Arabidopsis thaliana: one gene and its partners. The protein of the gene in region 1 interacts with the protein of each later gene in a pairwise test. Each region holds a gene or a part of one and is shown in the gene's direction. Other genes may lie near its edges. The genes, in order: AT1G33080, UMAMIT27, AT3G17020 and HHP4.

Evidence for each region.
Region 2: the proteins of AT1G33080 (region 1) and UMAMIT27 interact in a protein complementation assay, tested with the Arabidopsis thaliana proteins (one large-scale study listed by BioGRID).
Region 3: the proteins of AT1G33080 (region 1) and AT3G17020 interact in a protein complementation assay, tested with the Arabidopsis thaliana proteins (one large-scale study listed by BioGRID).
Region 4: the proteins of AT1G33080 (region 1) and HHP4 interact in a protein complementation assay, tested with the Arabidopsis thaliana proteins (one large-scale study listed by BioGRID).

The regions. Positions count from the first base shown.
Region 1 is NC_003070.9:11,982,854-11,992,662, forward strand, and holds AT1G33080 (MATE efflux family protein), read left to right. Parts: upstream 1-2,796; 5' UTR 2,797-2,898; coding exon 2,899-3,171; intron 3,172-4,276; coding exon 4,277-4,818; intron 4,819-5,802; coding exon 5,803-5,889; intron 5,890-6,228; coding exon 6,229-6,285; intron 6,286-6,432; coding exon 6,433-6,671; intron 6,672-6,969; coding exon 6,970-7,088; intron 7,089-7,188; coding exon 7,189-7,275; coding exon of another isoform or gene 7,276-7,344; exon of another isoform or gene 7,345-7,393; coding exon 7,394-7,474; 3' UTR 7,475-7,667; downstream 7,668-9,809. Other genes in the region: AT1G33070 (MADS-box family protein), read left to right, coding at 36-110, 1,931-2,228, 2,322-2,446.
Region 2 is NC_003070.9:3,850,329-3,857,525, forward strand, and holds UMAMIT27 (nodulin MtN21 /EamA-like transporter family protein), read left to right. Parts: upstream 1-2,855; 5' UTR 2,856-2,988; coding exon 2,989-3,191; intron 3,192-3,429; coding exon 3,430-3,492; exon of another isoform or gene 3,493-3,666; coding exon 3,667-3,783; intron 3,784-4,013; coding exon 4,014-4,413; intron 4,414-4,541; coding exon 4,542-4,693; coding exon of another isoform or gene 4,694-4,718; exon of another isoform or gene 4,719-4,807; coding exon 4,808-4,931; 3' UTR 4,932-5,179; downstream 5,180-7,197. Other genes in the region: AT1G11440 (uncharacterized protein), read left to right, coding at 1-181; UMAMIT26 (nodulin MtN21 /EamA-like transporter family protein), read left to right, coding at 6,677-6,879, 7,042-7,104.
Region 3 is NC_003074.8:5,800,582-5,807,303, reverse strand, and holds AT3G17020 (Adenine nucleotide alpha hydrolases-like superfamily protein), read left to right. Parts: upstream 1-3,021; 5' UTR 3,022-3,240; coding exon 3,241-3,424; intron 3,425-3,781; coding exon 3,782-3,891; intron 3,892-4,016; coding exon of another isoform or gene 4,017-4,073; exon of another isoform or gene 4,074-4,378; coding exon 4,379-4,576; 3' UTR 4,577-4,768; downstream 4,769-6,722. Other genes in the region: AT3G17030 (Nucleic acid-binding proteins superfamily), read left to right, coding at 117-226, 531-671, 742-883, 959-1,084, 1,512-1,672, 1,780-1,854, 2,025-2,166, 2,258-2,548 and 1 more; REM22 (AP2/B3-like transcriptional factor family protein), read right to left, coding at 5,001-5,267, 5,354-5,598, 5,692-5,983.
Region 4 is NC_003075.7:17,697,942-17,705,055, forward strand, and holds HHP4 (heptahelical protein 4), read left to right. Parts: upstream 1-2,692; 5' UTR 2,693-2,944; intron 2,945-3,044; exon of another isoform or gene 3,045-3,065; 5' UTR 3,066-3,274; coding exon 3,275-3,540; intron 3,541-3,632; coding exon 3,633-3,885; intron 3,886-3,973; coding exon 3,974-4,627; 3' UTR 4,628-5,011; downstream 5,012-7,114. Other genes in the region: NAGS2 (N-acetyl-l-glutamate synthase 2), read right to left, coding at 1-135, 245-332, 530-895; AT4G37682 (hypothetical protein (DUF1399)), read left to right, coding at 5,520-5,578, 5,662-5,701, 5,775-5,903; AT4G37685 (uncharacterized protein), read left to right, coding at 7,108-7,114. UniProt on the Arabidopsis thaliana protein: May play a role in abiotic stress response.

The DNA.
Region 1 (9,809 bases):
GATCAAGAGAAGTGTCGAAACTAACTAACACAAGCATGCCCATGAGGAAGGAAGGGATAACGAAGAAACTTTATGAGTTGGCAACTCTCTGCGACATCAAAGCATGTGCGGTAATCTATAGTCCGTACGAGAATCCAGTGGTGTGGCCGTCAATCACCAACTTCTGTAGATAACAATAATTCAACGTTAGAGAAAAAAGAAGAAGTTACCATCAAAACAATTAACTAAAAGTGTTTTGAAAGATTTACAAGGGATTTTAAAAGGGTTTTATAAGATTTACAAGAGATTTTTAAAGGGTTTTAAAAGATGTACAAGGGTTTTTAAAAGATTTTTTTAAAGAATTTACAAGAAAACCCTTTAAAAACTCTTGTAAATTTTTTTAAAACCTTTTAAAATCTCTTGTAAATCATTTAAAACCTTTTTAAAATTTTTTTGATGGAAAATAGATTTACTAGGGATTTTAAAAGAGTTTTAAAATATTTACAAAGAATTTTTAAAGGGTTTTAAAAGATTTACAATGGATTTTAAAAGGGTTTTAAAAGATTTATAAGGGATTTTAAAAGAGTTTTAATATTGATAAATATATATTTATATTTATGACGAGAGAAATAAAAAGAAGAAAAAAGTAAACGTACGTCATTTTAGAAGAAAACTTTTTCTTTTGCTATATGTAGAGGAATTAAATCTTCTACTTTACTCTGCTTTTTGACTTTTCAAAAAGAAAAAGATTTTTTATTTACAATAGAAAAGTATATTACATTACATAATACACAATCAAATTTCATATTTCAAATAATAATTCAGTAAATTTTGTAATTTATTACAATATCTTTATTTAATAATTATTTTGTTTCCAGCACATAAAGTATCTACAATACTATTATTTAATAAAATAACACAAAATATTATGAATATTTCTGATTTATAAGAAATAAGGTTGAATTTTGATGAAATTCAAAGTTATTATATTTCACATATAATCAGGTTACCTAAAACACGAATATAACATATGTTCTTAAGTTAATAACATTATCTAAAAACTCTTAAAATGATCCAAAATGTCAACTGTAACTCATAAAACGTTAATGTAGATTTTAGTACAAATTTAAATTAATATATTTAAAAGTTTTATCAATCATAATTATTATATATTTTGGTGATTTTTAACAAAACTTAACTAATCTTTCTTTTTTTTTGTAATCAAAACGCAAACTAACGAAACCAATTGTGAAAATTTTGATTTACAATATTAAAGTATACATAATTTATTAAAAACATAACAAAAATAACATCATTGAAAACCTTTATAAAAAATATATAACTAAATGCTGTGACTACTTTCCTAAGTTTCTCTCAAGTTTTTTTCAAGTTTTGCTCAATTATTTATTTGGTAAATTATATGCAGAAAAACAAAACAATTCCACAACTTTTTCTCAAGGTTTTTTTTTTGTGTGCTCATAATTTATAAATTGAAATTAGAAAGATACATGAAGATTAGGCTTCATCGGAGAAATCCGAGTAACAAGTTCGAAAATTGAAAAGCTTAACCATACATAACTCAAACATAGAGACACGAACTGCAGTAAGCTTGATAGGGGAAGAAGTGTCGAAACTAACTAACACAAGCATGCCCATGAGGAAGGGACGGATAACGAAGAAACTCCATGAGTTGACAACTCTCTGCGAAGTCAAAGCATGTGTGGTAACCTACAGTCCGTACGAGAATCCAGTGGTGTGGTCGTCAACCGAAGGTGTTTAAGAGGCGGTTTTAATGTTTATTAAAAGGCCGGCGATAGAACGGTCCAAGCTGATGATGAGTCATGAGACCTACTTGTAGAACCAAATTACCAAAGAAACAAAGAAACTGGAGCGTCTACGTCTTGAAAACCGAGAAACTCAGCTTACACATTTTATGTTTGATTGTGTTGAGGGTAAGATAAGTGAGCATCAGTATGGTGCAAGGGACCTTCAAGATTTAAGTTTTCATATTGATCACTATATCAATCAGCTTAATTCCAGGGTCAAGATCCTTACAAACAATGGTGAGTCTTCTTCTTCCGTTCCTCCTCTACTTCATACTTCAGTTGCGGGTGCGGGTGCAGCTCCTCTTCCTGTTGCGGGTGCCGATCTTCCGATGGATCAGAATCAGTATGAGCCGATTCAGCTCTATATCCCTATTGGTCTTAGTTATCATATTCAATACCAACATGAAATCTATGATAATTTCAGTTTGGATCCAAATCATTAGTATCCGTTTCAACATGATCCACTCATGAATATGTTGATGGAATATCCTTATCAACAAGTGGGTTATGTTGGAGAGCATGCGCACATCCTTTTCATGAACGGAAACTACTACAACTACCACCAAACACCAACCGTTGGTCTTACTACCACCGGTCACATGCCTTCCAACAACAACACCACCCCCACCACCGATGTGTGATGTGTTTCAATAGTTTGCATTTTTGTTTTGTTCGTTTCAAAAAACCTTAAACTCTTACAACAATTAATTGGATTTGGTTTGGTTATAAAAGATGTGTCTATTCAAACACCAACTTTTGGTAAAATATTTGTAGAGGCCATACCTCGCTGTGATATATATTTCGACTATCTCATCCCATTTTTTGGGTGATTTGTTCAAAACTAGCTATGTCTTTTTCGGTATGCAATGTATAAATGTAAATGTAATTTTGACAAATTTTAAATTTTATTTAAAATTTATTTATGAAAAGTATTCATTTTGCATATAAAATACCAATTTGGCAAATTAAAGAATCTTAAAAAGAGGTGTAGGCCGGCTTTTCATTTCCTCCGTACGTAAATAAACAACCCACCAAACAAAAATCTCTCCTCGCTCCATGCCTTCTCTACTCTCTCTTCATTCTCTCCTAAGCTATGGCGAGAAGAGAAGGAGAAGTGACGGAGACCCTTCTGAAAAAGTCGACGGAGAATCGCGGAGAAGATCGGGATGGGTTAGGGATGAAGGAGAAGGTTTGGAGGGAATCTAAAAAGCTATGGGTTGTGGCTGGGCCGGCGATCTTTACGAGGTTCTCCACGTCCGGACTATCTTTGATAAGTCAAGCTTTCATTGGCCATCTTGGCTCTACCGAGTTGGCCGCTTACTCCATCACTCTCACCGTTCTCCTCCGTTTTAGTAATGGTATCTTGGTGAGTTTACTATAAGTCTATAACGATTAGATCAGTTCTTCCACACACTCTTTACTACAAATTCGTAAAACATAAAAACAATTTTTTTTTGTTTTAATAACTATTAATATATGTTAAGGATTGTTCTGATTAGTTTGAATGATATAAATCGTACTATATAAACGGTGACGTGAATGCTTAGATAGACTTCTTGTGGGAACTTGTTTTGGTTGATTTGTCAACCAATCATAAAAATTCACAACCACTCAACTCTTTGCCTTTATGAAATGAAATTATGCTATTTCTATGTATATAAGATATTGAATGTTTGGAAGGCATTGTTGGTCGTATACTCTTCGTTTATTGTTAGTGTAGTTACCTTTTTCACATAAACAAGTCTCAACTGAAACTCCATGAGTTTTGATTATTACATCAATTATTATTAATGGTTGGAAATGCAACAAAAACATTTCATTGTTAAGTAGAATCAGTGGGTAAATACAAAATAGAATAAAGTTTAGAAAGTTGGAGAATATAACAAACACCTTTAACCAAAAAAAAGTTGGAGAATATATTGATTTTATAAAAAGTGAAAAAAAAATATTGTAAGAAATGACAAAAAAAATAAAGGAATAGTCAGAAGATTAATTTATATTAAGACAATATATTCCCTTTTCTTATTTGTACTCCATAGTGCAACAAAGATAACATTGTCAAGAAGTATAGCGAGTCATTGGCCACAAATGTCCAATGGTCACCTGCCAATGCCATCGTTTTCTTAATGTTTTGGTCTTTAATTAGCATATCATGTGTGAGGTTCGAATTTATAATATGAAATAGTGCTTTTAAAATGTTATTAGACCATTGGACATATATTCAGTTACACCAAAAAAATTCAATACACAATATATGATCTCTTTACCAACAAGAGTTTATAGGTTATATACATTTTTTAGTTATCAACATGCAATATCCAAGTTTAAAGTTTAAATATTATAGTTGTTTATATATAAGCGTTTATCAAACCTACTTAGTTCTTGTTTTATAGGCAAAATATGTAAAATATTTAACCATAAAATAGTTTTTTTTTGGTGTAATAACGAACCGTCAATGAAACAATATGCAGTTAGGCATGGCTAGTGCGCTAGAAACACTATGTGGTCAAGCCTATGGAGCAAAACAATATCATATGCTTGGGATCTACCTCCAAAGATCATGGATCGTCCTCACAGGCTGTACCATTTGCCTTATGCCCATCTACATCTTTGCAGGCCCTATTCTCTTGGCTTTAGGTCAAGAGGAACGCCTTGTTCGTGTGGCTCGGATCATAGCTCTATGGGTCATAGGCATCAACATCTCCTTTGTGCCTTCCTTCACTTGCCAAATGTTCCTCCAAGCTCAGAGTAAGAACAAGATCATCGCCTACGTTGCTGCTGTTTCGTTAGGAGTCCATGTCTTCTTGTCGTGGCTTCTAGTGGTTCATTTTGATTTCGGGATCGCTGGTGCCATGACCTCTTCGCTCGTAGCACATTGGTTGCCTAACATTGCGCAGGTTTTATTTGTCACATGCGGTGGATGTACGGAAACGTGGAGAGGATTCTCTTGGTTGGCTTTCAAGGATCTTTGGCCCGTTTTTAAACTATCTGTATCTTCCGGTGGCATGATTTGGTATGATTTTCTAATCTTCTCACCTGGTAAAAGTATCAACATCCATCAACGACATAAGTATATATTTACTAGTCATACAAATACTTTTGTAGACCATGTGGTTGTAATCATATATATGAAAAGTTGACCAACTCTCTCCAAATGATTAACACATCATCACTTTAGCATTTGCCATGTGTCTACTAAGTAATTAATGTAAGCTCTTCAACTTCTAATTTATAGGTTAATGATATATTTATTATTTAATTTTACATATTTAATTATAGTATTACTAAATTTATTTTAATATTACATGATTTTTCAATAAAACAATTTTAATAGTTTTCTCATACTCGAAGATTTTTTTTTGTAATCCAAACTCAAAATACGATTATATAATAGTCTTAGATTACTTAATGATTTGAGTAAGTTATTCTCTTAAATTGATATTTATATTCTCTTAAATTGATATTTATACAATAAATCACTGAGAGTGAAGAATACGTAAGGAGCTCCATCATCAAATTCTTAGGTTTCTAGAATCCAAAACTACCCTCTGTTAAGTTGGTTTAATACAAACGTTATTTATGAATTATATGTATGATGCATTGTTGAGAATGTTGTTAGAAAAAATATTCTTGAAACTAAAAATAATTGCTTATTGCATGAATAAATAATTAGATAAATAAAAATTATATTTAAACTAAACAATACGAAAAATTCCGAAAAAACCGCGGCGTAGCGCGGGTGATCACCTAATTTATATATAATGCCACGTTGGGTGAAAAGCTGCCAAGTACATTCATTCATTTTCTCAAAGGTTGAGAAATTTTGAATAAATGTTATAGAGAAAAATTTCGTGTTTATGTATTTGTATAATAATATTATTACTATAATAGTATTAATATTATTGTTATAATATTACTATGATTAATATATATATATATACACATATATTATGATAATATATAATAGCACTTGCTTGGTGATATTAATTTTTGGCAGCTTGGAGCTATGGTACAACTCGATCTTGATTCTGCTCACGGGAAACTTGAAAAACGCTGAGGTTGCTCTTAACGCACTTGCAATCTGGTAAAGTATTTTTATCAGTTTTATGTCTTTTGTCTTTGAAGCTATATTCATACGATCGATTTGTACATTATCTTTAGATCATTCGTCTGAATGCTACTGACATTTTACCATTTTTGACTTCATACGGAACACTACTGACGAACATTGTTCGTAGGAAAACAGAAAGAATTGGTTTTATTGTCTACATAACAATATACATTGATGCTAGAGAAAATGATAGGTTTAGGTTACCAATTGTACTTATACTCTCTAGCTAATTGGTAGCCGCGGAATAGCATAATGCTTTTGCGATTGATCATAGGCACTTAGATTCAATATTATATGTTATAATTTTCGCAGCATCAATATAAATGCACTGGAGATGATGGTAGCCTTCGGCTTCATGGCAGCAGCAAGGTGCGTATATATTGTATATACTAGATATATTTGATTATATTCTTCTTGATTAAGTCATTCTAAATATTTGATTACACATGCTTTATTTAAATATCTTATAATCATCTTCATATTTTTATTTTATTTTGTAATAATGTTTTGTAATAGTGTAAGAGTTTCAAACGAGATCGGGAGTGGGAATTCTAATGGAGCCAAATTTGCAACAATGGTTGTGGTTTCGACATCACTTTCGATAGGAATCATCTTCTTCTTTATCTTCCTGTTTTTAAGAGAAAGGGTTTCATACATTTTTACAACAAGTGAAGCTGTTGCCACACAAGTAGCCGATCTTTCTCCACTCTTGGCCTTCTCCATTCTCTTGAACAGTATTCAACCAGTTCTCTCTGGTATGTATCTTGCCTTTTCGATACTCCTATATTGTTTACCATATATAAGACATTAATTCATCGAACGTTGTAGGGATTCATTTTTCAATGATCACTCTATATTCATGCATTGACTGAATATGTGAAATTGGTTATTATAGGTTTTTACGTAGAAAGGGTTTTGTGTGATATATATCCACTATCCAGTCACTTTCACGTATAATGAGTTACCAATTTATCATTATATGATGAATACGTGACGAATGAGTTTGTTTATAACCCTAGACAACATGTTGAACTTATTTATAAATGGGTACAGGAGTTGCTGTTGGAGCGGGATGGCAGAAATATGTTACGGTCGTTAACCTTGCTTGCTATTACCTTGTTGGAATTCCTTCCGGTCTTTTTCTTGGCTATGTCGTTGGTTTACAAGTCAAAGTAAGTCTCAATTTTTATTATTAATATTTTCTTTTTAGTTTTTTAATTTAATTTTGTATATACAAATATAAAATAGTTTTTTTTTAAATATAAAATTTAGGGTGTTTGGTTAGGAATGATTTTCGGAATCTTCGTTCAGACTTGCGTGCTTACAGTAATGACTATGAGAACAGACTGGGATCAACAGGTTTGCAAATCGAATATTATTGGATTTTTAGTAGAAAATTATAAGTATTTTTTTTTGGTTATAATATAAGAACTGACTTGTATATATACATTACTCCTTATTGTTATAAATAATGCAGGTGTCTTCGTCGTTGAAACGTTTGAACCGTTGGGTTGAACCAGAATCCCCAAGTCGAAACCAAACTTTACAAAACGAATGATGGTGAAGATTGAAGTAAAACTTGAGTTTGTATTCGAATTTTGAATTTCTACTTCACCCTCGAATGTACACACTTGCGTAAAATGTAAATGTGAAACAAGTGGTAACGAATTTGGACCACTAAAGTATCAGTCCTTAACTCAGTGATCATTTTCACCTACTAAACTAGGAATCTTTAAGAGCTTTCAAGTGGCAAACCAATTATCGCACATTCTTAGAGAAAAAAATTTGAGAGGAAAAAACGGTAAACAAATACTGATATAGATCAAAGAAGAAAGAAATAGCACTACAACAAAAATCTAGTGTAACTATTATAAAGCTGTCGTAACAAATCAAAGCCATTTTGTTTTGTTAGCATTTTGTTTCGAATTTTTCTTGGCTATGCTATAGATTTGCAGATAAAGGTAGAATTATTTTTTCATTATTATGATTTTTCAAAACAAAATATACGTTGTTTTCTTATTTTAACATTTCTTCTACCGAATTTTTATTCACCAAATTTTTTTATGTAGTATAAAATTTAAAACTATTTTTCTTTCAATGTCAAAATCTATACTATTAATTGGGAAGTATTGTAAATAAACAACCTTATGAAGGGTAGAATATTACATAGAATGCCATTGATTGTTAGTGTTTTTAAATAAATTCATTAAGGATACAATAGTAATCACAAAATTAATAGATTTAAATTAAAAATTGTAATATTTTTTAAAGTAATTATTAGTTTCCCAAAATTAAAATAACTTTCTCTTTCCTATTAATTATGGACGAAAAATTAAACTTTATTTCTTAAAATTTATTAACCAATAAGAATTGCAAAACTAAGATTTGATATCCAATTATACTATTTTATTAAACTAACATTTTTGAAGTTAATTTTTATTTATTTTTTTTAAAAAATCATAAAACTTGCTTGATACCATTAATAAAAATCATAATTTGCGATAGATAAATAAATTTAATTTTAGAATTTTGGGTTAAGTATTTTGAAATATAAAATGAAAACAATTATTTCACAATTTCTAAAAAACAAGATTAGATATAACAAAGATTTATATTTACTATGAATTAAACTAAAAATAATTAATTTAAACTAATTATCATTATGCCATTCATTTAGAAATATTTAAACAAGAAATTATACATATTAATTTCCATATATTTTGGGGGTTTTTTTCTTCTTTTTTTCAACCGGATATTTCTTTAAATAAATCCATAATATATTATTGCACAAACTTTTTTTAATAATGTAAATAATTATACATTTTTCATTCAAAACATATTATCCAGCAATAATAGATTGCTTTTATGGGTGTATTTCAAAATGTAATTATATTTCAAAAATCCAATTAATTATGATTAAACAAGGGAAATAAGAATATTGAAAAATGTAGCTAAGGAAATAAACATTATTAAATTTCTTACAAAGGTATTTGTTAAAATGTTATTTATATTTTTGAATTTGAAGAAGGAACAAAAATCAAGAAAGGATATTTGTGTGTTTAACTTATGATATATTTGTAAACCTTAACATCATATATGTTTATCCACAAAACACAGTCATATAGTATAACATGATATTTAAAGGTAAAAAAATAAGACTTTTGGAACATACTTTTAATGTAATGAAATGAAAATAGGAATTTTGAGACACAAACGACATGAAAAGAGACGGAAGCACTATATATAAAAAAAAATGAAACCAAACTAAACATCAAATTAAATATCCAACGGGTATGAGTTTGGGTTATGAGCACTATATATAAAAAAATTATTTACACACATAACTCTGCATGTATGTATTTTGTGACACAAATTCTATTTGTGATGATTACGGATAACGGGTTGGTAGTATTTTATTTCACATATACAGACGAGTTATGAGACGAAAAATTTATAATAGCACATTATGGGTTTTCCGTTCCAAGATAGTTATGCCTAGCAAATATACATGAAATAACCCAATCTAAAACCAAATCCATATCCTATTTTACACTGATAATCAAACTGTTATAATGTTTTGATTAGTTTAGAAAATAATAACGTACAAGCACTTAACTTTACAATTAAGTAATATCTTAATTTATCTTACTAATATAATTTTGTCTTGTGAGTCCGGATCTTAAAATATAACTATACACGAACGCAATTGAATTTTGATCATTACTCTTAACTTTATAATATCTATAATATTACAAAGTTTACTCATAACAAAATATTATATATTTTTAAAATCTATTAAACAATTTATACTATAATATATATCACAAAATAACAAAATAATCTATATTGAATTTAAAATATGAAACCCCGCACGTATGTGTGGGTCAAGCTCT
Region 2 (7,197 bases), 8.1 Mb from region 1:
AAGACGTCAGGAAGATGAACAAGATCGTGGGGCTGCTGTTTCTTGCTGGGAAAGCAACGATTCTGATCCGTGGAAGACAACTTCCGATCACCTTTTCGGGGATTCATATCCGTACGGTTACGAGAATCGGAGCGAAAGAAATCAGTTCGAGGTCTCCTCTTATGGTTACCGGATGTATTAACAACCCTAGTTATCATCAGTTGTGTCAATGTGAGGTAAGAACAACATTCTTTTGATTATTGATGAACCTGATTTTTTAGTATCTGTTACACAAGAGATGAGATTTACTGTTGTATAACGAGGAGGGGTTACTTAATAATAAAACGTCGCACGCAAAATCTATCTTCAACCTTTCTATTTGTAACATTCTCTTTAACACGTTTGTTTAAAATCTAAAATCTTTAAATACTACACTCGATGTGATAATTGATTACTGTATCCATCGTAATTATTATTGGTATATATACATTTCTTTGTGAAAAACACCAAATAAATGAAAGAATTGTATCATGGTATATCTAATATCTATCACTGTGAGTACAAGTGCAGAAGAAATTGTAGAAGTAGAAAAGTCAACGATAAAGATGAATTAGCTGAAGTTGAAGAACACTCTAATAAGTAATAACAAACAATGAACACCATGGGGGTTCTTGATTATCTTAAATGAAAATTAGTACCCGATTCAAAAGAATATCATTTTTTTGTGTTTTTGGAAACTCTTTTGAGACGTTAACATGTTGACTAATAAATTATGTGTAAATATACTTTTTTGCAGAAATTATTTTTGTGGATGTATAACTTGTTTACCTGAGCATGTAAGTATATGGAATTTTCAAAACTGTACTACGTATAGACAATATGCAAATACAGAAAACAAAACAAAATACCGTATTTACACGCGATATTAATAAGGTTCAATGACATGCTACTTCTTAACTAAAACAAAATTTAAAATGATTGATGAAAGCTTTACATGTGCGTCATGGAGGCTTAACTTTGTTTTGAGACGTCTACTTCTTTTTTTTTATTCTTATCCCTTTCCAATTTAGTTATATGTAGTATAATCAGATTAATTCACCATATATAAAACCCTTTTTCAAAAAAAAATAAAAAAAATTATAAAAGTATAATAATTATTGAGCTGTTGGTTATACTGTTTTAATTTCATCGAATACTTTCTCTGTTTTGTTTTAAATGATGATCCAGAGAATTTTGTTTATCTTATTTCAAGTGATGTTTTCAAAAGTTTAAATATATTTGATTGTAACCATTTATATAATAGAATATGTTTTTTACTAGTTGAATTAGTTTTATTTTAACAATTTATATATATAAAATAAACAAAATATTTTTTTTATTATTTCTTAATTTATGTGAAAAACTTTAGATATGATTTAATATGAAAAGATAGAATATATTATATACCAATCTTGTAAATTTATTCTAGAACTAAGTCAAAACCACTAACTTTTCTTTTGTGACAACTTTTTTATAAAAAAAATTTAACATCATTAGAACCACTAACTCAATTGTTATTATATTTGGTGAATTGATCTAATTAGTAGAAGGAATATATATGTCTGCACTACTGGAGAGAAAATGCCCCGTCCATTATGTTCTAAGCCTTTTCTAGATAACTTACTGAATCTAAAAATAGCATCTGCTTTTTGTCCCTACAAAGTTATATGGACAAACTAAAGGAATGAAAGAGTTCGATATACCCAAATGGGGATAATATAATTTTTTCATCAACTTTAAAAGTTCAAATATAGAGCTAATTATACGCATTTATAATTAACAAAAACGAGATAGTGCAAAACAAGATGGATCCAATGAAAAGACAAAAGAGAATAATTAATGGATCGAATATAATTCAAAATGGGCACAAAACAAATTTGCACGCAAAAAGTTATTGAATGAGAGTTGCAAAATCTCATATAGTACTTATTTACTACATATGATTAGTTTATCTCGTTGAAAAGTTCGTGTTTTTTCCTATTTTGCACCAAATTCAACAAATCCTTGAGTCAGTCCAATTACAATTGAAAGTAAAGAACCCAAACTTGAACCTATACGACCAGACGGAGACGGGCATGCAAGTGTTTAAGTGTCATTAGATTACAAATGTTTAAGTGTCATTAGATTACACGAAGTATAGATTTAGATATACCAACTAGCTCGGGTTTGCATGACTTATTTTTTCTCACTAAACTCAGTTACATCATCTCTCCGACTCTCTTTTATGAAAATCATTTTGCTAATTAATAAGGTGCGCGGCAGATAACACGCATGATAAAGCCAATGTATCGGTTTCTCATTTACTCATATAACGTATAAAATGGAAAAGCTAATTCATCGGCGCCTCATGAAACGTGTGATAAAGCCAATGTATCGGTTCTCATTTCTACTATATAATAAATAAATAAATATAACAGTAAATATACACATATTGACCGGAAAAAAAAAAGATTGTTACCGCATGAGCAGTTATATTTGTGACGACTTCTTAAACTTAAGTATCCTACTAATTTTGTTCTTTCATTAGTTAATAATATGCTCGGGTTTGTAGTAGTGCTTTGTTCTTCACAAACGCTTATCCTATATAAAAAGAAAGTTTTTTTAGACCAGAAAAGTAAATAAAATTAAGCTAGTTGTGTGTAGGAACATTCAACTTGTTCAAATATTTGAACTATTTTGTAATTTATAATTTTACATAATGTGGAACAAGATTCTAATATTATTTAAATTGAACTTGACAGCACTAAGTTTTTTATTTATTTATTTTTGATAGAAAGACCACTAAGTTAATATAATAGAGCAATAATTCAGGGGTTTTTTCTATTAAAATGACAGAACCCAAACACAGTACTCTTTCTTATAAGTTATAAATATGGGAAGGGTGGTTGCCAAACTCAAAGTACTTTGGGTCTTAACTCTTTCTAACACACAAACTCACATAGAATTCAAGAAAGAGAGAACGAGGGAGAGATGGGTGAGGATATGCGAGGAGTGAAAGTAGTCTCAAAATGGCCACCGATGATAGTTATGGTGACATCACAAGTAGCGATGGGTTCGGTGAATGCACTTGTGAAGAAAGCTCTTGATGTTGGTGTGAACCATATGATCATTGGTGCTTATCGAATGGCTATTTCCTCTTTCATTCTGGTTCCTATCGCCTATTTTTTGGAAAGGTTTATTGATATTTTGATGAAAATAGTTGAGTTATATATTTTTCTTATGCAAAATTTTCAAAAATTTGATTATATCAAAATAGTTTTTTCATATTTACATAATTAACAACATTTACTACAATTGAAGATTGTCAGAATGCTCTATTATAACATGTAAATAAACACCACTACATGTTACTAATATATGAAGTAGATTGATATTTTCTTTCCCCTAAAGTTTATGTCTTATTGTTAACAGGAAAATAATACCGAAAATAACGTTTAGGCTAATGGTCGATCATTTCATCAGTGGTTTGCTCGGGTTTGTCTTCTCACAATTTCTTATGTTCTTTTGTCGTCCATTTTCCATTTTCCTTTTCCATTATACATTGATTGTTTCCACAGAAGAAAGATTTTCTTTCAAGTGAGCATAAAATCTTCATAAGCTAGCTAAATTGTTTTTAATCTTAGCTTAGTTTTGGGTTTAAATTTGCAGGGCGAGTTTGATGCAATTTTTCTATTTGCTTGGTCTGTCCTACACGTCAGCAACTGTTGCGTGTGCTTTGGTAAGCTTGATGCCTGCAATCACCTTTGCTTTCGCTCTTATTTTGAGGTAATTATGGAACCATCTAACTTCTTTATCATTAAAATAAGTACTGTATTTACTATTACTATGCAATGGGTTCATGCAGGATTTATTCGTATTTGTTATGTATACAGTGCATATAATTTCTTTTGTTTTTTCATCAAGCATATTATACTTCTATATATAGAAATACTCAAAAGAACCTTACTCATAAATTATCTCAAATTTATCATCTAAAAGGTTATATTACTTTTCAGAACTGAGAAGATAAAAGATCTAAAGACCCAAGCAGGAATGATAAAAGTGATGGGAACTCTAATATGTATAAGTGGAGCTTTGTTCTTAACATTTTACAAAGGCCCTCATATATCAAACTCTCACTCTCACCTAGAGGCTCTTCCTCACAACAACAGCGATCACAACACCAAGAATTGGCTTCTTGGATGTCTCTACTTAGTCATAGGAATCGTGTTGCTATCTCTATGGATATTGTTTCAAGGGACTTTAAGCATCAAGTATCCTTGCAAATTCTCAAGCACTTGTCTCATGTCAATTTTCGCAGCTTTTCAATGTGCTCTATTGAGTCTTTACAAGAGTAGAGACCTTAAACATTGGATCATCGACGATGGATTTGTGATTGGTGTCATAATATATGCTGTAAGTTATAATACTATATTATCAGAAATCTTAACATTTTTATAAATTATAATGTAGTATATATGTAAATAATTAAATAAATTTTGGGGTTTACCTAATATTACCTTATTACTATACACGTATTATAGGGAGTGATAGGACAAGCAATGTCGACTGTAGCAGCGACATGGGGAATAAACAGATTAGGAGCTGTTTTCGCATCAGCAATTATGCCAGTTTCTCTCATATCGGCTACTCTATTCGATTTCCTTATCTTACACACTCCTTTATACCTCGGAAGGTGCTCTCTTCGATCATCTCTATGAAATTTTTTGTATAGCTTTATAGATGTTAATGTATTAGGTTCATGCTCGTATTACTAATTACAATTTATTTTGTAACTTTTGCTATACAGTGTGATTGGATCAGTAGGGACAATAATAGGTCTCTACGTGTTCTTGTGGGGTAAGAACAAAGAAACGGAAGCAGACATAACTACATTGTCTTCTCGGATGAACAACGAAGATCAACGAGTCTAGGTCGCCCATTTAATCAAATAATATTGTTGTCATAGAAAGATTCATATGGCTTCATTGTCGTAAATTAGTATTTACTACTGAATACATTTACCGTAAAGACCAGTCATAAATATTTAGATTTAAATTGTGCAAGCACACTCACGTTAAAGACCAGTCATAAATATTCAGATTCAAATTGTGCAAGCAGTTTGTATAATTCATACTTTTCGTTTGCAGATTTATAATTTCGTAAAGAGATAACAAAACAGATTTGTTATAATATTCAAAACTAACCAATATAAAGCATATATGATATATCAAAACATTTCACAACAGATCTGTTAAAAGAGCCTCGTAATATTGTTTTTAGTTTCAAAAGCTCTGTTTCTTGGATTATTTTCGTGCTGATTTTAAATGTGTTGCGTTTTGAGTTTGTAGCCTGTTGCTAAAACAGTAAGAATTTAAGGTCTAGAAAAAATAAAGACCAATTGTAATTAGTACTACTGTATATATATTATGCACTACTGGAGTGAAAATGCCCCGTCCATTTTTTCTAAGCCTTACCTTAATCTAGAATAGCATCTGCTTTTTGTCCCTACAAAGTTCGACGGACAAAATAAAGGAAGGCAAAATTTCGATACCCATATTGGGGAGAAACAACTATATACTAATACAGTATAATTTTTTTCATTAACTTCTATATTGAAATGTATAACAATTATTATGTGCATTATAAATAACAAAAACGAGGTACTGCATGGATCCAGTGAAAGGACAGAGCGTAAAAGGGATCGAATCCAAATTGGGAACAATAAAATGGAGAATTATTGAATGAGAGTTGCAAAAATCTCATATAATTATGATAACTTTTTCCCATCATATCGAATCAGAATTCAATATGACGTGGTCATCGTAGATGGGGAATTCAGTATAATACTTTAGTGTTTATGTGTCATTAGATTACACTAAGTATAGATTATACCGACACTGTTTTACTTCATTTGCATGACACGGGTGATAACGCCAATGTATTGGTGTCTCATATAACGTATAGAATGGAAAGCTAAGGTATCGGTGTCTCATGGAACGTGTGATAAAAGCCAATGTATCGGTGTCTCATGCATTTCTACTAAATATAAAAGTAAAAATAATACAGTAAAGGCAATCGTCATGTATATATCGCAACACTGACCTGAAAAATAAATAAAAAATATTTTACCGCAGTAATTATATTTGCGACAACTTCTTAAACTTAAAGCTAACGATTTAATCCATTACTCAATAAGAATATGCTCGGGTTTGTGCTTTGTTCCCTCCTCACAAACACTTATCTTATATAAAATAAAGTTTATTTTTTAGATTAGTCTTAACCAGAACAACAAAAAAATATATACAAATTAATTAGCTAGTTGTGTGGGTGGGAACATTCAAACTATTTAAATATTTTGACAAAAAAAAATTTTATTATTTTTTTTTACTTTTCACACATAATGCGGAACAAGATTCTAATATTATTTAAAATGAACTCGAGTAGACACCACTAAGTTTTTTTGTAAAAAATGTTTTTGATAGAAAGACAACTAAGTTAATACAACAATTCTTCAACTCAGGGTCTTTTCTATTAGAATTAGAGAACCCATACACACATGTTTCTTATATATATAGAGGAAGGTTTGTGGTTGCCAAACTCAAAGCACATTGGGTTTCAATTCTTTTTAACGCACATACACCAAATGACATAGAAAGAAAGAGAGGACGAGAGAGGGATGGGTGAGGATATGCGAGTAGTGAAAGTAGAATCAAAATGGCCACCGATAATAGTAATGGTAATATCACAAGTAGCAATGGGTTCGGTGAATGCACTTGTGAAGAAAGCTCTTGATGTTGGTGTGAACCATATGATCATTGGTGCTTATCGAATTGCTATTTCCTCTTTCATTCTGGCTCCTATCGCCTATATTTTGGAAAGGTTTGATTTTTTTGATGAAATAGTAAGTTATTTACTTTTTTGGCGAATATTGTGAGAATGCTCTACTTTAACATGAAATAAATATAAACTAGTATTTGTTACTAATATATGAAGTTTAATTATTGACATTTTTTCCTAAAATTTACGTCTTATTGTTAACAGGGAAATAATACCGGAAATAACGTTTAGGCTAATGGTCGATCATTTCATCAGTGGATTGCTCGGGTTTGTCTTCTCAACTCAACATAATATTTGATTATGTTCTTTTGTCGTCCATTTTCAATTTCCTTTCCACATAGGAATTATTTTCTCTCAAGT
Region 3 (6,722 bases), on another chromosome or scaffold:
AATTAGAACTGCAGTATTGAATTTGCTTGTAGTTAGTCCTAACACATCTCAGTTTTCATGCGAAGTTTATATGAAAAAGAGTGGTTTAGTCTTTACCTGACTTTCAAATACCACAGGACCAAGATGATGATGCAATCCTCATAGCAGCTCAATTTTGTTCCGATACTTTCTCATCTGTTTCTCTTGATGCTTTCAACGATGGAGCTTCTTACTCTCTGTATGCTAGGTAAGAGAATATGTGGGTAAACAATCTTACTACCAATCTTGGTAAAAGTAACTTACTATTCACATTCCTAGTTGCAAACACATTCAAGAAACTTCAAATACTAATACAGTGATTATTTTTATCAGATCAAAACCTTTTGGAAGTAATGCCTAGTATAACTCCAAGTGTTGTGATTTTATAGTAAAATTGTAGAAATATGCGTAAAGTACCCCATAACAAAAGTATATGTTTTGAGAAATTGAGTGGTTACCATGACTTAACTTCTAAAGTAATATTTCATGTTCCCCTCTTTGTTTGAGAGCAGAATTGAATCTATAGGTCCTCTGGAATCTGAACTCACGTTTAGTACTGCACGTAGAAGGCAAATTTCACTTGTAGATGGTGATGGCGATAGGTTAAAATTTATCTTGTGGGGAGAGCAAGTCATTGTGGCAAACCTTCTGAGGTAAGCTCCTGGCTGGGTGCTTCTACCTTTAAATTTTTCGACCAACCCCTTCTTATAGATTCATTTTCAGTGTGGGAAGTGTGCTTGGGATTGAGAGGCCTTATATTTCTAGTCTCGAAGAGAGTGCAATGGAAGGAAATTATGAGTTCTGCCTTGAATACGGTAGCGCAACACATCTCTATCTAGTGCCATCAACCTTACAAGAGGAACGGGTAAATGAAGTTTTTTTTATGTTGCTTCCTTTTTCTGTTCAGATTTTTGCATTGATTTGTTTTTTTTTTCTTCAGGTTTGTGTAGCGTTGTCACAACATCAGTGTCAAGGATCTAAACTGCTTGGTTCAGTCGGAGTTTCACAGGTGACATTGCCTCGTGATGCCGATGGGTCTGTAGACTTCAGTAATTATCCTTTTCGGGTGAGTAGAAGTTAAGATACCATTTATTCAAGCATGATGTTAATTGATGGTTATGGTAATTGATATTTGTAAAGTTCACACTGAATCTAGGTTCATAGGTTCTTAATCAATTCCGTGTTTAGAAATCAGGCAATAGGGAGGTTCTTCATCACTTCCGTGTTAATAGGTTCACACTGAATCTAGGTTCATATCGCTACAGATCCTATTCATATGCATACCATTTATTGGTTTTTCTTATCATAGCACCAAAATGCATTCATAAGTCTTACAGTTTTGCTTTTATATGGCGCACAATATCATCTCTGTTGGAAATTTACAGCCTTGTAAGCCTAGGAGATTATACGTAAAGCCTGCTCTGGCTATTATTTGAAAATCTATGTCTTAGCTGCATCTGCTAATATTCCTCTCCTTGGTTGAAGTTCTGCAGACGATGATAACGGACATTCGTGACAAAACGACTGGCATCAGTCTTTATGGGGTTGTAACAGACATTTCATGTGATCCAAACGCCACAGGAGTGGTCTTTTCTTTGAAGATCGAGGACACAACTGGAGCAATATGGGCTAAGCTCCATTTTACCAATTACTGGTATAAGCGTGTTTCATGAATCTCGAAACGACATCTGAACAGAAATTTGAAGGCTTTAACATTCTGTTTAACAGAAATTTGAACCATATATAATATATGGTTTCCAGGTCGTTGGGAAGGTTAGGGCTTGGTCATGTCGTGTACGTGTCTGGGTTATCCTGCAAAATCACAAAAGAGAACTGGTAAGCCGTTTCTCTTGCTTTGAAACTGATAGATATACTACGGATCCATCGCTATTGGGAAACTGATTTAGCTCAAACATGAACTGAATACTTATCAATAAGTAACAGTAGGTATTGGTTTATTGCTTTAGCTTAAACATTAATGGAGTTCTTGTTTTTGGGTTGAGCAGCATTGAGATGTTATGGCATGAGAAAGACGAGAAAGCTACATTCGTAAACCTTAGCTGCTTGCCTGCATTTCTGACCTCTTCTTGTATTCACCTGATCTCCACTCTCTCCCAAATATCAAAACAGAGAAAACCTGCAATAAATGTTCGTCTTGCTCTCTAAATGATTCACAGAGCTTTATGTGGCGTTTCCTTTGCACGTCTGGATAATTCGTTTATTTTTCTTTATTGGACAGATTTGTCGGGTTAAGCTGGATGAGATCGACCAATGCCATAACATCAACACTAGACTAGCTCATAGCCTTTGCGGCCATTTCATAGATGAAGAATCATCATCATCTTATGGAGCGAACCTGCATTGTAGTTTCTGCCGAGTAAGCTGCAACAGTAACACAGAAGTAGTGAGAACATTCCACATAACGATAACACTTGCAGACGAGGAAACCAAACTATACGCGTGGTGTACTGGTCAGTCTGCATCAGCTATACTTCAAATATCTCCTGATGAATTCTGTGACCTCCCAGAGGTAACAAAGCAATCTGTTATTATATATATTTGGTTATAATAGTAGCTAATATATGGCGGTAAAATGAATGAATAAAAGAAGCAATGTAAAATTATTGGTGGTTCAGGATGATCAGCTAATGTATCCGTCTTCATTGGAGAACGAATGGTTTCTAGTGATTTTAGCAAACAGCGGTAGCCGGAATTTGGGTTCCGGTCATGAAACGGACGACACTTGCTGGGAAATCACACGAGCTCTCAAGATTTGAAGCTACCATGAATTTTCCTTTACTTGTCATGATTAGTTGAAAAAACAGACTCTGACCGTCTTTAAAATACTAAACTAGTGGAGAGACTATTTGAATTAAGAACGTGAATGTCTGTTTGTCTTTTTGGACAGTGTTGAAAAACTTGGTGGGCCCAGACCCCGCCCTTATCTTGTCCGTTACATTTGCCTCCGTGAAGATATTTTCCACCCACTGTTTTTTTGAGCTATTTTAATCGTAAGGCTGCGATCGGTCGTGGACTCCATTCAACGGCCATGATGTTTCTGTATCGTTAGACAGCATTACAGCGAATAACTAATAATTATTAATCGTTGATCCATTTCAATCTCCTTAGTAATACATAGTCCCTTCTTCCACATCAGAACCCATTTGTCTTTGAGTGAGAGAATCAGCTTTCAGAGAAAAAAGTATACCTACAGAGAGAGTTATGGCGGAGAGTGGTGGACGAAGGATCGGAGTGGCGGTGGATTTCTCGGACTGCAGTAAGAAGGCTCTGAGCTGGGCGATCGATAACGTGGTTCGCGACGGAGATCATCTGATCCTAATCACTATTGCTCACGATATGAATTACGAGGAAGGCGAGATGCAGCTCTGGGAGACCGTTGGATCACGTACCTTCTTAATCTCTCTCTCTCTCTCTCTCTCAAATTCCTTTTCACCTTTATATTGTTTTCCTGGAAACGTGATATAGAAATTGGGTGTGATCGCTGATGATTTAACTTATGATTTTCCGGTTTTGTCTGATCTTGCATACCTTTGTTGAAGGAACCTGACTTACTTATGCATCGTTTGATCTATAATTGGTTCTGTATGATTTGCTTGTTTAAATTTGGAAAGAATCTATTTGAAGTAGTAGTTGATCGTGTTTTGCTCATGATCATCTTAATTCTTTCCCAAGTTTATGGTTTGAATTCCTACTAATGATCTCGTTGTTGTTTGACTCTGGTTTTGTGTTTGTAACTTTTCAGCTTTTATTCCTATGAGTGAATTCTCTGACGCTGCTGTGATGAAAAAGTATGCATTGAAGCCAGATGCTGAAACCCTTGACATTGTCAATACTGCCGCTAGGAAGAAAACGGTAAGCTACTTCTTCTTTCCCTTTTAATGAAAGAATAATCCATAAAACCTCTCTGCAACTGGAAACACTTTTATGCTTACAACAGTTTTAGTTTACTAATGTTCACATAACAATACCTGAATCAGAGTATTAAGATTATGATTCCCAAAGATGGTGATCTTCCAGTTGCGGATAGTTTATGAATATGCATCACTGAAGAGTACCGATAACTTGTACAAAATAATGGTCTATCTCTGGTGTTCTAGACAAATTAATCTGAGGATTGGTGGGACTATACTCTATTGAATAACCTGTAACGGTACTGACATTGAATATGTTACATTACATCTATCATAGTTTTATTCAGAAGTTCATTGAAAGCTTTATGTTGCCTTGTTAGTTGTGACTAATAAGTGAACATTGTCAATCCATATGAATGTGACTTTCTTTACCACAATTGTTTGGTTCTGTATTTAACCAAAATTCAACTGTTGTGAAACATGTGCAGATTACAGTAGTGATGAAGATATATTGGGGAGATCCTCGTGAGAAGATTTGTGCAGCAGCTGAACAGATTCCTCTCTCAAGCCTTGTGATGGGTAACAGAGGCCTTGGTGGTCTTAAGAGGATGATTATGGGAAGTGTAAGCAACCATGTTGTCAACAACGTTGCATGCCCTGTGACCGTTGTCAAGGCTCACATCTGAGTTTGCTCGGAGAACTCTAAATAACACCACCGTGTATTCTATAATTTGTGTTTTTGTGGTCGGAATTTCTATTGTTAACTGTTGTGTGACTGGTGTTTTGTTCATCTGTATGGATAAACAACACTCCACCTTCTAATAAATACAGACTCTTTTGATTTTTGGACCAAACTCCACTCATATCAATGTGTTTTTAACTTATGATTTGTCCATTTGTTTTTATGGTTGAAGAGAAGAGGAATTAAACTTGACAAGTAACAACAACATAGATAGTTTTGTTAGCATAACAATCTTACAACGAAGTTCAGGACATAAGTAGTTCTACAGGAAATACAAGCTAAAGAGTTTCAGCGAAATTAATAAGCACGCAAAACATACATAAAATGTCTCCATAGAGAAAGAAAGCAAGACACTTAACATTCATTCCTCAATCGATCATGCACTGATCCATCTTCTCTCTGTTCTTCTTGGAGGTAAGAAGGACAAACTCGAAGGGTTTGATAAGCTTAAAGGTGCATTTGTCACCAACCATCAAAGGGAACTCTCTTGCCAATTTCGAGTATCCACCTGAGAAGATTGTCCGAATCTCCCTCACCAAGCAAAGCACCTTCCATGAACCACCATTCGGGTGACGAATCGTGAAAATCTTAGACTTATTCGGGATATGATCATCCACAAAATGTTTTGGTATTGCCTGATACATAAAAACCAGAAAATCATTATCACCAATATACAGAGATGTGTTCTTGTTTTGGTTCTGTCTTATGGTTTGAATCTTACCAGGAACTTGAGGTATGATTTCCTTATGGTGATTTTGAACTCTGGAACACCATCCAGCACTTGCTTGCTCTTGCTCTTGCTCTTCTTCTTCACTTTGTTTCTCGTCATCTTCTTCTTTGATGATTTGGAATCCTCAGTCTTCTTCTTTCTAACTAGGAACTCAGCTCGTCCCGGAGATTCATCACTTTCCTCTTCCTTCTTCACATCTATGAGGCTGTTCTCTCCTTCTTCTTTCTTGATCCCACCTGTTTTCATCAATCATCAAGAGTAAAATAATTAGTCTTCTTCAACTTCATATTCTCTGTTTTAAAGAAAGCATTAAAAGCACAAAAGCTTACTAGAAGGACCCATCGTCTGGAATTTTCGAGGTTTACGCATCTCTAAGCCATTCTGCTCGTAGATGTTGACATGAAAGACCATATTTCCTCTGTGAGTGAAGGTAATGAACTCGTTTTGTCCTAAAGCATTGTCACTCACAAACAGATCCCATCCACGCGTCTCAATGTAGTAGTATGTCGGGTTCTTGGAGACTTCTACATCCCATGTCTTTCCCCATTGCGCTCTTATAACCATCTTGTAAGAGAAGTCTTTCTCAGAGACTTTGCTTATGAAGCTGTAAGGAAGCGCTCTCTGGTTGGAACAAACAATGAAGAGTGTTAAAAACACCAGAGAAACAACAGATTCAACGTTTCAAAGACAGAGAACGTGAAGATTCAGAATTTAAACTTTTATTAAACAAAGACAACCAAAAGATTCTACCTTCTAGCCAAAGCTGAAAGATCTAACTTTTCAAATACAGAGAACCTAACATTCAACCGTTGAGACCCATAAAAACCCAGAGAAAGAACAGATTCAACGTTTCAAACATATAGAACGTAAAGAGTCAGAGATTAACCTTTTATTAAACAAAGACAACCAAAAGACTCTACCATTTAAACAAAGATTATAAGATTTAACTTTTAAAACACAGAGAACTCAAAGATTAAACTGTTAAGAGTCTTGAGAGCAGAGAAACAACAGATTCAACGTTTCAAAGTCAGAGAACGTAAATATTCAGAGATTTAACAGATTCAACCTTTCATTAAACAAAGACAGCCAAAAGCTAACAAGATCTAACTTTTTTTATTTTTTTTACAAGATCTAACTTTTAAAACACACAGAACCTAAAGATTCAACCCTCGAGAAGCTGAGACCCTTAAAACACCAGGGAAACAACAGATTCAACGTTTCAAAGACAGAGAACGTAAAAGATTCAGAGGAAAAACAGTTGCAATCTTTAAAACAAAGAGAACCAAAAGATGAATAAGCCGTAGACTTGAAACCCATTCAACAAAAAGAAGAAAAAGATTCCCACTTTTCAAACAAAGAT
Region 4 (7,114 bases), on another chromosome or scaffold:
GGATATTGCAAATAGAAGGTCCAGGAGATAATTTGGCCTCAAGCATCACTGATATTGCTCCTGCAGCTTCTTTAGCAGCCTGCAAAGATGCTGCATCCGTTACTCTGTAACGTCCCACATACGTAGCCTCGCGTCCTGCAACTCACACAGCATTAGACTCGTAGCTAACCAAACCATTTACTTGACGCTAGCAAGGTTTATAGTCTAGAATCTAACATCGTGACAAAGCTTATAATATTCTGACCTCTCTCAGCCAGAAGCTGGTCGATTTGCTCCTGAGTTCCAGGAACTAAAACAAACCTTATTCCTAGATGATGAAGAAACGCTATGTCCTGCACATATATCAAATCACTTCACCTTCTACTCAAATACGAGAACTGAAAACTCAAGCACATTGCAAAGAAAAGATCATATAACAAAGCAAAATAAGAATAGTAACAACTTTAGTTGAGGCAAGCAAACAATCGAACACCTTGCGTGCTTTTTTCTCATAAATCAAAGTATATAATACGGTGAAGAAAGACGGTACCTTCAAAATGGCATCACAAGAAGAGCCGGCGATGATCTCGCCGGAGATAATAACGACGAATGTGCAGCCACGGTGAGCCCAAAGATAAGGCCATGCTTCACGGAACCAACGCACAAACTGTTTGTCGTCAACTGGATGCTCAGCCTCCACATCGCCGGCTGCAGTCACCGCGTAGTCAAACATATTGCATTTCGCCGCCGTTATAGAACTAACCGGCTTAAACCATGAACAGTTAAACCGGAATTGAGTAGGGTTTAGCTTATTTTTTGGTTTGAATGACGAAAAATTCGACTTTGATTGGCGAAAGTGGTAAGGAACATAGTAGCTAGAAGTAGAAGAAGAACCCACTAAAGCTCCTCGCTCCATCTTCCTTAGACTTCGATGAGAGAAAGAATTCAAATAAATACTAAATTGTTATTGTAACTAAACCGGCAGGTGACGGCTGATTACGGTCGGAGAAGGCGGCAGTAGTACCGTAGTGGGACCCACGGTAAGTAGGTATTTTATTTATTGTTTATTTTTCCATATTTTCTTCAATAGTCTTTTTCTATTATTATTTATTGTTTATTTTTCCATATTTTCTTCAATAGTCTTTTTCTATTATTATTTATTGTTTATTTTTCCATATTTTCTTCTTTAGTCTTTCTCTATTACTATTTGACGGAACTCTTTGAATGTCTGGTCGTTACAAGCTTAAGTTGTGTCCCCACATGGAAGTTATTCGGTTGGGTCCATCGAAGGAAAATTGATTGAACCGGTCTGGTCATTCTCTCCCAAACTATAGAACCAATTTCGGTCTGCATCGGAGTTTCGAAGTCGCGGACTTATCAGAGTGGGCTTTTTAAGGAATGTTTTTAGAATATTTACCAGCCCAATCCCATTTTAAGTATGTCCAGATCTTAATTTGGCGAGCCTTTTTATATATGGTGAACAACTGATTCTAATGTGTATGTTTCACTTTTATTAGAGAAAAAATGTGAAAAGATTTAATGTGTATGTTTCACTTTTATTAGAGAAAAAATGTGAAAAGATTCTTAAAAGTATTTATTTATGCTAATTGGCAAAACTAAAACATCAATTTATGTACATCATTTTAGTTCTTCCTCTAAGATTTGATTGATTTGTATTAATGGCTCTGAATACTGATACTAGTTTCGTTGGCAAGTAAGATAAGTGATAACTTTGATAAAGAGTGTCAAATTACAAGTGCCACAATTTGGAGTACGTAACCAAATTGACATAAAACTTGAATAGGTGAAAAAACGAGCCAGAAAAAAAACGAATATCTTCTGCTTATCCGAATAAAACGAAAGTAATATTCTTACAAGATCCTTCCTTATGAAGTAGTGCCAGTAGATATTTTTATCATTGTGATTGCGACCTGTTTGTTGCGATTCATTTATGCCAATTCACGTTACTATTTATGTTGTGATAAAATCTTTTATTTTTCTTCTTCTTTCCAAATACTTAAGTATGCATGATTATTGATCCGTACAAGCATAAACGAAGAGCTATAAAGTCTCCAACGGTAAACGTACGTGAACCAAAATAACAATTCAATATTATGGTTCGAATTATTCTGTGTATTTTATGTAAGAAAATAACCAAAACCGACTCGAAACAAAACAAAAAAATCTTCTGAAATGTGAATCTTTATTTCGGAAAATTCTTAACGATAGATAGTTTTTGCTTTAAAATTAAATCCAAACATAAACTAGAACTGAAATTCAATTCGTTGTCAATATTTTCTATACAAAAAAAAAAAAGAAATCCGACCAAATAAACAAAACCATAAATAGACATCTCCATTTTTAGTTGAAAGATGATTAAATGCAATAAATGTGCCACAATCATAAATTTTTCCTTTTCACCTAATTGAAAATTTTAATCATTAATAAGAAGAATCCATGGAGCACAATTATTTTATTTTTTATTTTTTGCTCTCATATGGTATGTTAAATTAATTTTCCCTTAATTTAAATTCCCCATATCAAATAAGTTTTTTTTTTTTTGAGAAAGACTTGATTTCATAGGAGAAATATTTGTTAATATTTTCGACAAAACATTTTCTCTGTTTGATGTATTTCCATCCTCGTACAATAAATACTCTAGCTATTAAATTCTTAGCCCAAACGAAAATAAAGAAAAATAAAAGGGTCCTACTAATAAACAAAACAAAACTAGTGGTCCCAATTTGAAATATATAAAAATATATAAAATTCATAAAGCTTTGTGGCTTCAGAGCTTCCACTTCCATCGTCGTCTTCTATTTTTTCTTCTTTCTTCGATTTCATACCAAAACAAGAACTCTCTGTTTTCGACAAAAACGAAACCTTGAGATCTATTTTGATTGACTTTTAAGAAAGAGAGAGATCTTTCTTAGAAGATTTTGTCTCGTCGGCATTGAAGATCCAGGTAACAAAATCTCACCTTTTCTCTCCTAATTTCACGAAATCGAAGAAAAATTCTCATAATTCTCTTAATTACTTATCTCTCAATTTCTTAAATCTTACAGGGTTTGTCTTTCGAAATTCAGGTAATTTTCTCAAATCCATTTATGGATTGAAGCTTTAGGTAATGAATGAGCTGAATCTGCATATAAAAATCGATACTTTCATTATCCAGAACAAAACAAGATTTAGCATAAACGTTCAAAATTGAAACTTTGATTCCTAACTTCTTGGAATGATTCAGATTGAGCTAGATTTAGATCTGTATGATTGATATTATGGGTTTGGTTTGTTTATGAGTAGAGAGAAAATGGGTGATGAGGCAGAGATCAAGGAACATTTAAAGCCACAAGCTTCATCTGAAACAATGGACAAGAAACATAATGTGAAAGGGAAGAGGTTATGGCAGAAAGTCAAGTATCAATTGGTGGAGTTTCATTCATTGCCTGCTTATTTAAGAGACAATGAGTACATCATTGGTCATTACCGATCCGAATGGCCGATCAAACAGATTCTTCTCAGCATCTTTACCATTCATAATGAGACTTTGAATGTTTGGACGTAAGTGTTGAATCATGTTTCTTGATGTATCCTTGTTTAAAGTTCAAGAGCCTTGAGTGTGTTTGTGTGTGTGTGTTCTTTGGGATTTGCAGGCACTTGATTGGGTTTTTCCTGTTTTTGGCGCTCACTATATACACTGCAACGAAAGTACCGAGTGTCGTGGATCTTCATTCGCTTCAACACCGTTTACCCGATTTGTTGAGGAAAACAGATCTCCACAAACTTCATTCTGAGCTCATGGCTCGCCTTCCTTCTAGTCCATCTAGTTGGCATGTGATGGACCTTCTTTATAACTGTTTGCCTGAAAGATTTTCTCATGGCAACTACACTGACATGTGTGTTCTGGTAAGAAAAGACTCAATCTTTCTCTCTATTCCTGCAGATTACTGTTTCAAAATGTGGCCAAGTTCATATCTTTGTAATTGCATTGCAGCATTCTGTGAGGGAAGATCTTGCAAACTTGATAGCTCCTTTGATCTTCAGGCCAATTACTCGATGGCCGTTTTATGCATTTCTAGGTGGTGCTATGTTCTGTCTATTAGCAAGCAGCACGTGCCACCTCCTCTCATGTCACTCCGAGCGAGTCTCCTACATAATGCTTAGGCTTGATTACGCCGGCATCGCAGCTCTAATAGCGACTTCCTTCTACCCTCCGGTTTATTACTCCTTCATGTGTGATCCTTTCTTCTGCAACCTCTACTTAGGATTCATAACCATCTTAGGAATCGCCACTGTGCTTGTTTCTCTCCTCCCGGTTTTCCAAAGCCCGGAGTTTCGGGTGGTGAGGGCGTCTCTGTTCTTTGGAATGGGATTCTCTGGCTTAGCTCCGATTCTTCACAAGCTGATAATCTTTTGGGACCAACCTGAAGCCCTTCACACGACAGGTTATGAGATTTTGATGGGTTTGCTTTATGGGTTAGGAGCTCTGGTTTATGCAACTAGGATCCCAGAGAGATGGATGCCGGGTAAATTCGATATAGCAGGACATAGCCATCAGTTGTTTCATGTTCTGGTTGTTGCTGGTGCGTTCACGCACTATAGAGCTGGGCTAGTGTATCTTAAGTGGAGAGATATTGAAGGATGTTGAAGATGAAGATTGAAGATTAGATGGAATCTTTGAATCTTGTTTGTAGTAGCTTCATATAAAAGTTGGATTATGTAAAGTCTTATATGTAATCAAACGTTTAATTGTTTCCTTTATTCAACAAAGGATTTATATTGTTAATCCACATATGTATTACTGGTTAAAGAAGCTGAAGGATTCATATTTTTAGATGATTCCAGTCTTGATTGCAGCATTCAAAGTATCATAATCCAGTGTCAACCTCATATAGCCTCCTTGTGAACCTGACACAAGCCTAATTGTTCCATGGCAGAGGATACTTTGATTCTGATCTTCTTCTTGAAGGTTTCCCCTGATTGGTATACATTTCGAATGATCCATAAGTGTTGATAAACTACAAGTACACAAAATATGAAACAAAATCTATGCACATCAATAAAAATTCAGAAATCAATAAAATTTACTCTGAAAATGCAGAACATTTATAAGTGTTTGTTATTGTTTTCAATATATGAGAGGAGGAGCTCCCCTACTATTTTTATATTTTTAGCCAATGAGAGAGCTCCACTTCATACCCCACTTTTACCAATCGTGCTATTTCACAGCCACTCTCACTCATGTCGCGTTGAGCGCGTGTCTACGATTTCTAAAGGGGTTAATCCACAAAAATCATGCATTTTTGGATCCACGCACCTCATTCTCAAAAACCCATCGCGTGTCGTATTTTTTTTGGTTTTCTTCTCTAAACCAAATTAAACCGAACCGAGATCAATTTGAATTTCAAAACCAATGTAAACCCATCGCTGTGAAAACAAAAAGCTCGGCCACTGTAACAACAAAAATGGAGACGACACAACTTGGAAGAGAAATCAACTCGAAATAGCCAAGAGAATGTTCGTAAACCCCCTCAAATCCGATGCTTCCTTTGATTCCAACCTCCAAAAGCCCATCTGCTCAAACGAGGAGTATTACAAGGTACCTCTATAGAACAAGTATTCACTTCCATTCCCTTACTTGTGTTAGTTCAGCGCTTGAGAAATATTATGATCTTGTTTCAGACTTTCAGCTGTCAAGAGACAAGGCCCGTTTTACTATCAGGTAAAATCATGGTCAGCTTCTTGTCCCAAACCACATTGTTGTAATCGAATTTGTTTGTGTGTCTTTGTTGCAGGTTTCAAGAGCTCATGTAGATAATGATGACGTCTTTCTGCAAGAAGCTCTGGCTAGATACAAAGCATTTCTTATAATTTTGGTTTTCTCGATAAGAGAGGAAGTTGTTGTTTTTGTTGTCTACTCTTGAAGCTTGATCTGGTTTGAAATTCATGTTCAAAAGAAGAGAAGAGGCTGTTTCTCAAGTGGTTGACGAGAAATAGATTGTGTTTTGTCTTCTCTGTTTAGAAGAATGCCTGCTTGGTTAAAAGAGGTGATGATTGAGATTGATCTCAGTTGAGGAGCGTGGAGTTTTTGCTTGGGTTAATAAGCACCTTTGGTCTGTGTTGATTGTGTGTTTCCTAGCTTCAATTTATCCTTGGATGAAACACATAATCAACATGAGGGAAAAGAACTAGCATCATAATGATGAATATGAAGATTGGCTAAGAATGAGAAGAAGATGAAGTGGCGTTTATCAACTCTGTCTTTGTTAATTTGGAGTTGCTATTTAGCTTGGATTTTAGTTCTGAAAGATGTTCTGAAAACCTGAAAGCAAGATCTTTCCAATGATATAAAGATCGCGTTCTGGTTCCTTGTGGATTGTTTGGAAATTGTTCTTAAAGTTGGTCTCTCGCAGGTCGACATGTTTTTGGATCTGTCGTGGATTTTGGCCATAACTTTCAAACCATAAACTCAAATCCAGATCCGTTTTCTCCTATGGCTTCGTATGATTGATGTTGTTACTGCAACCAATCCTTAGAATTTACTGGGTTAGTTTGCTGCTTTGTTTGTGTTCTGCATCAAAACAGATTGAATCTTCTTTTGTGGTCTATGAAGTTTACATATCAAGAGAGGATGAATCAGTTCTGCTTTTCAAACCATGGTGTATGCTTCAGTGTGGAGAAGTATTTGTGACCTATGAAGAAGAGAAAAAGAAGTCTGAAGCAGATTTCTAGGAGAAAGTGTTTTAATAGAAGACAGAAGAGTTGTGAATTGGATGAAGTTGTTTTTGTTTGTCTGACTGTGTCTTCTTCGTTTGACTTGGCTATGGACCTTGGATTTGAGCATTTAAAGCTGTTCTAGAATCTTGGAAACGAGATCTTTCCAAGGGTACAAAGATTTTTGTCTGATTCCGTGTTGTTTGATGGGAATTGGTTTCCAAAGTAGGCTGCTCGCGGGTGTCCCTCATTCTTGACCTATCTTGGGAAAGAGGTCATAGCTTCCAATCTACATATTCAAATCAAGATCCGTTTTTTCATGTGACCTCGTATGGCTGTCCTTGATATTTCCACCAGGTTTTCTATGTTTTCTAAGTTGGTTTGCTACTCCATTCTTGCTCTGCATCAAGACAGATGGATA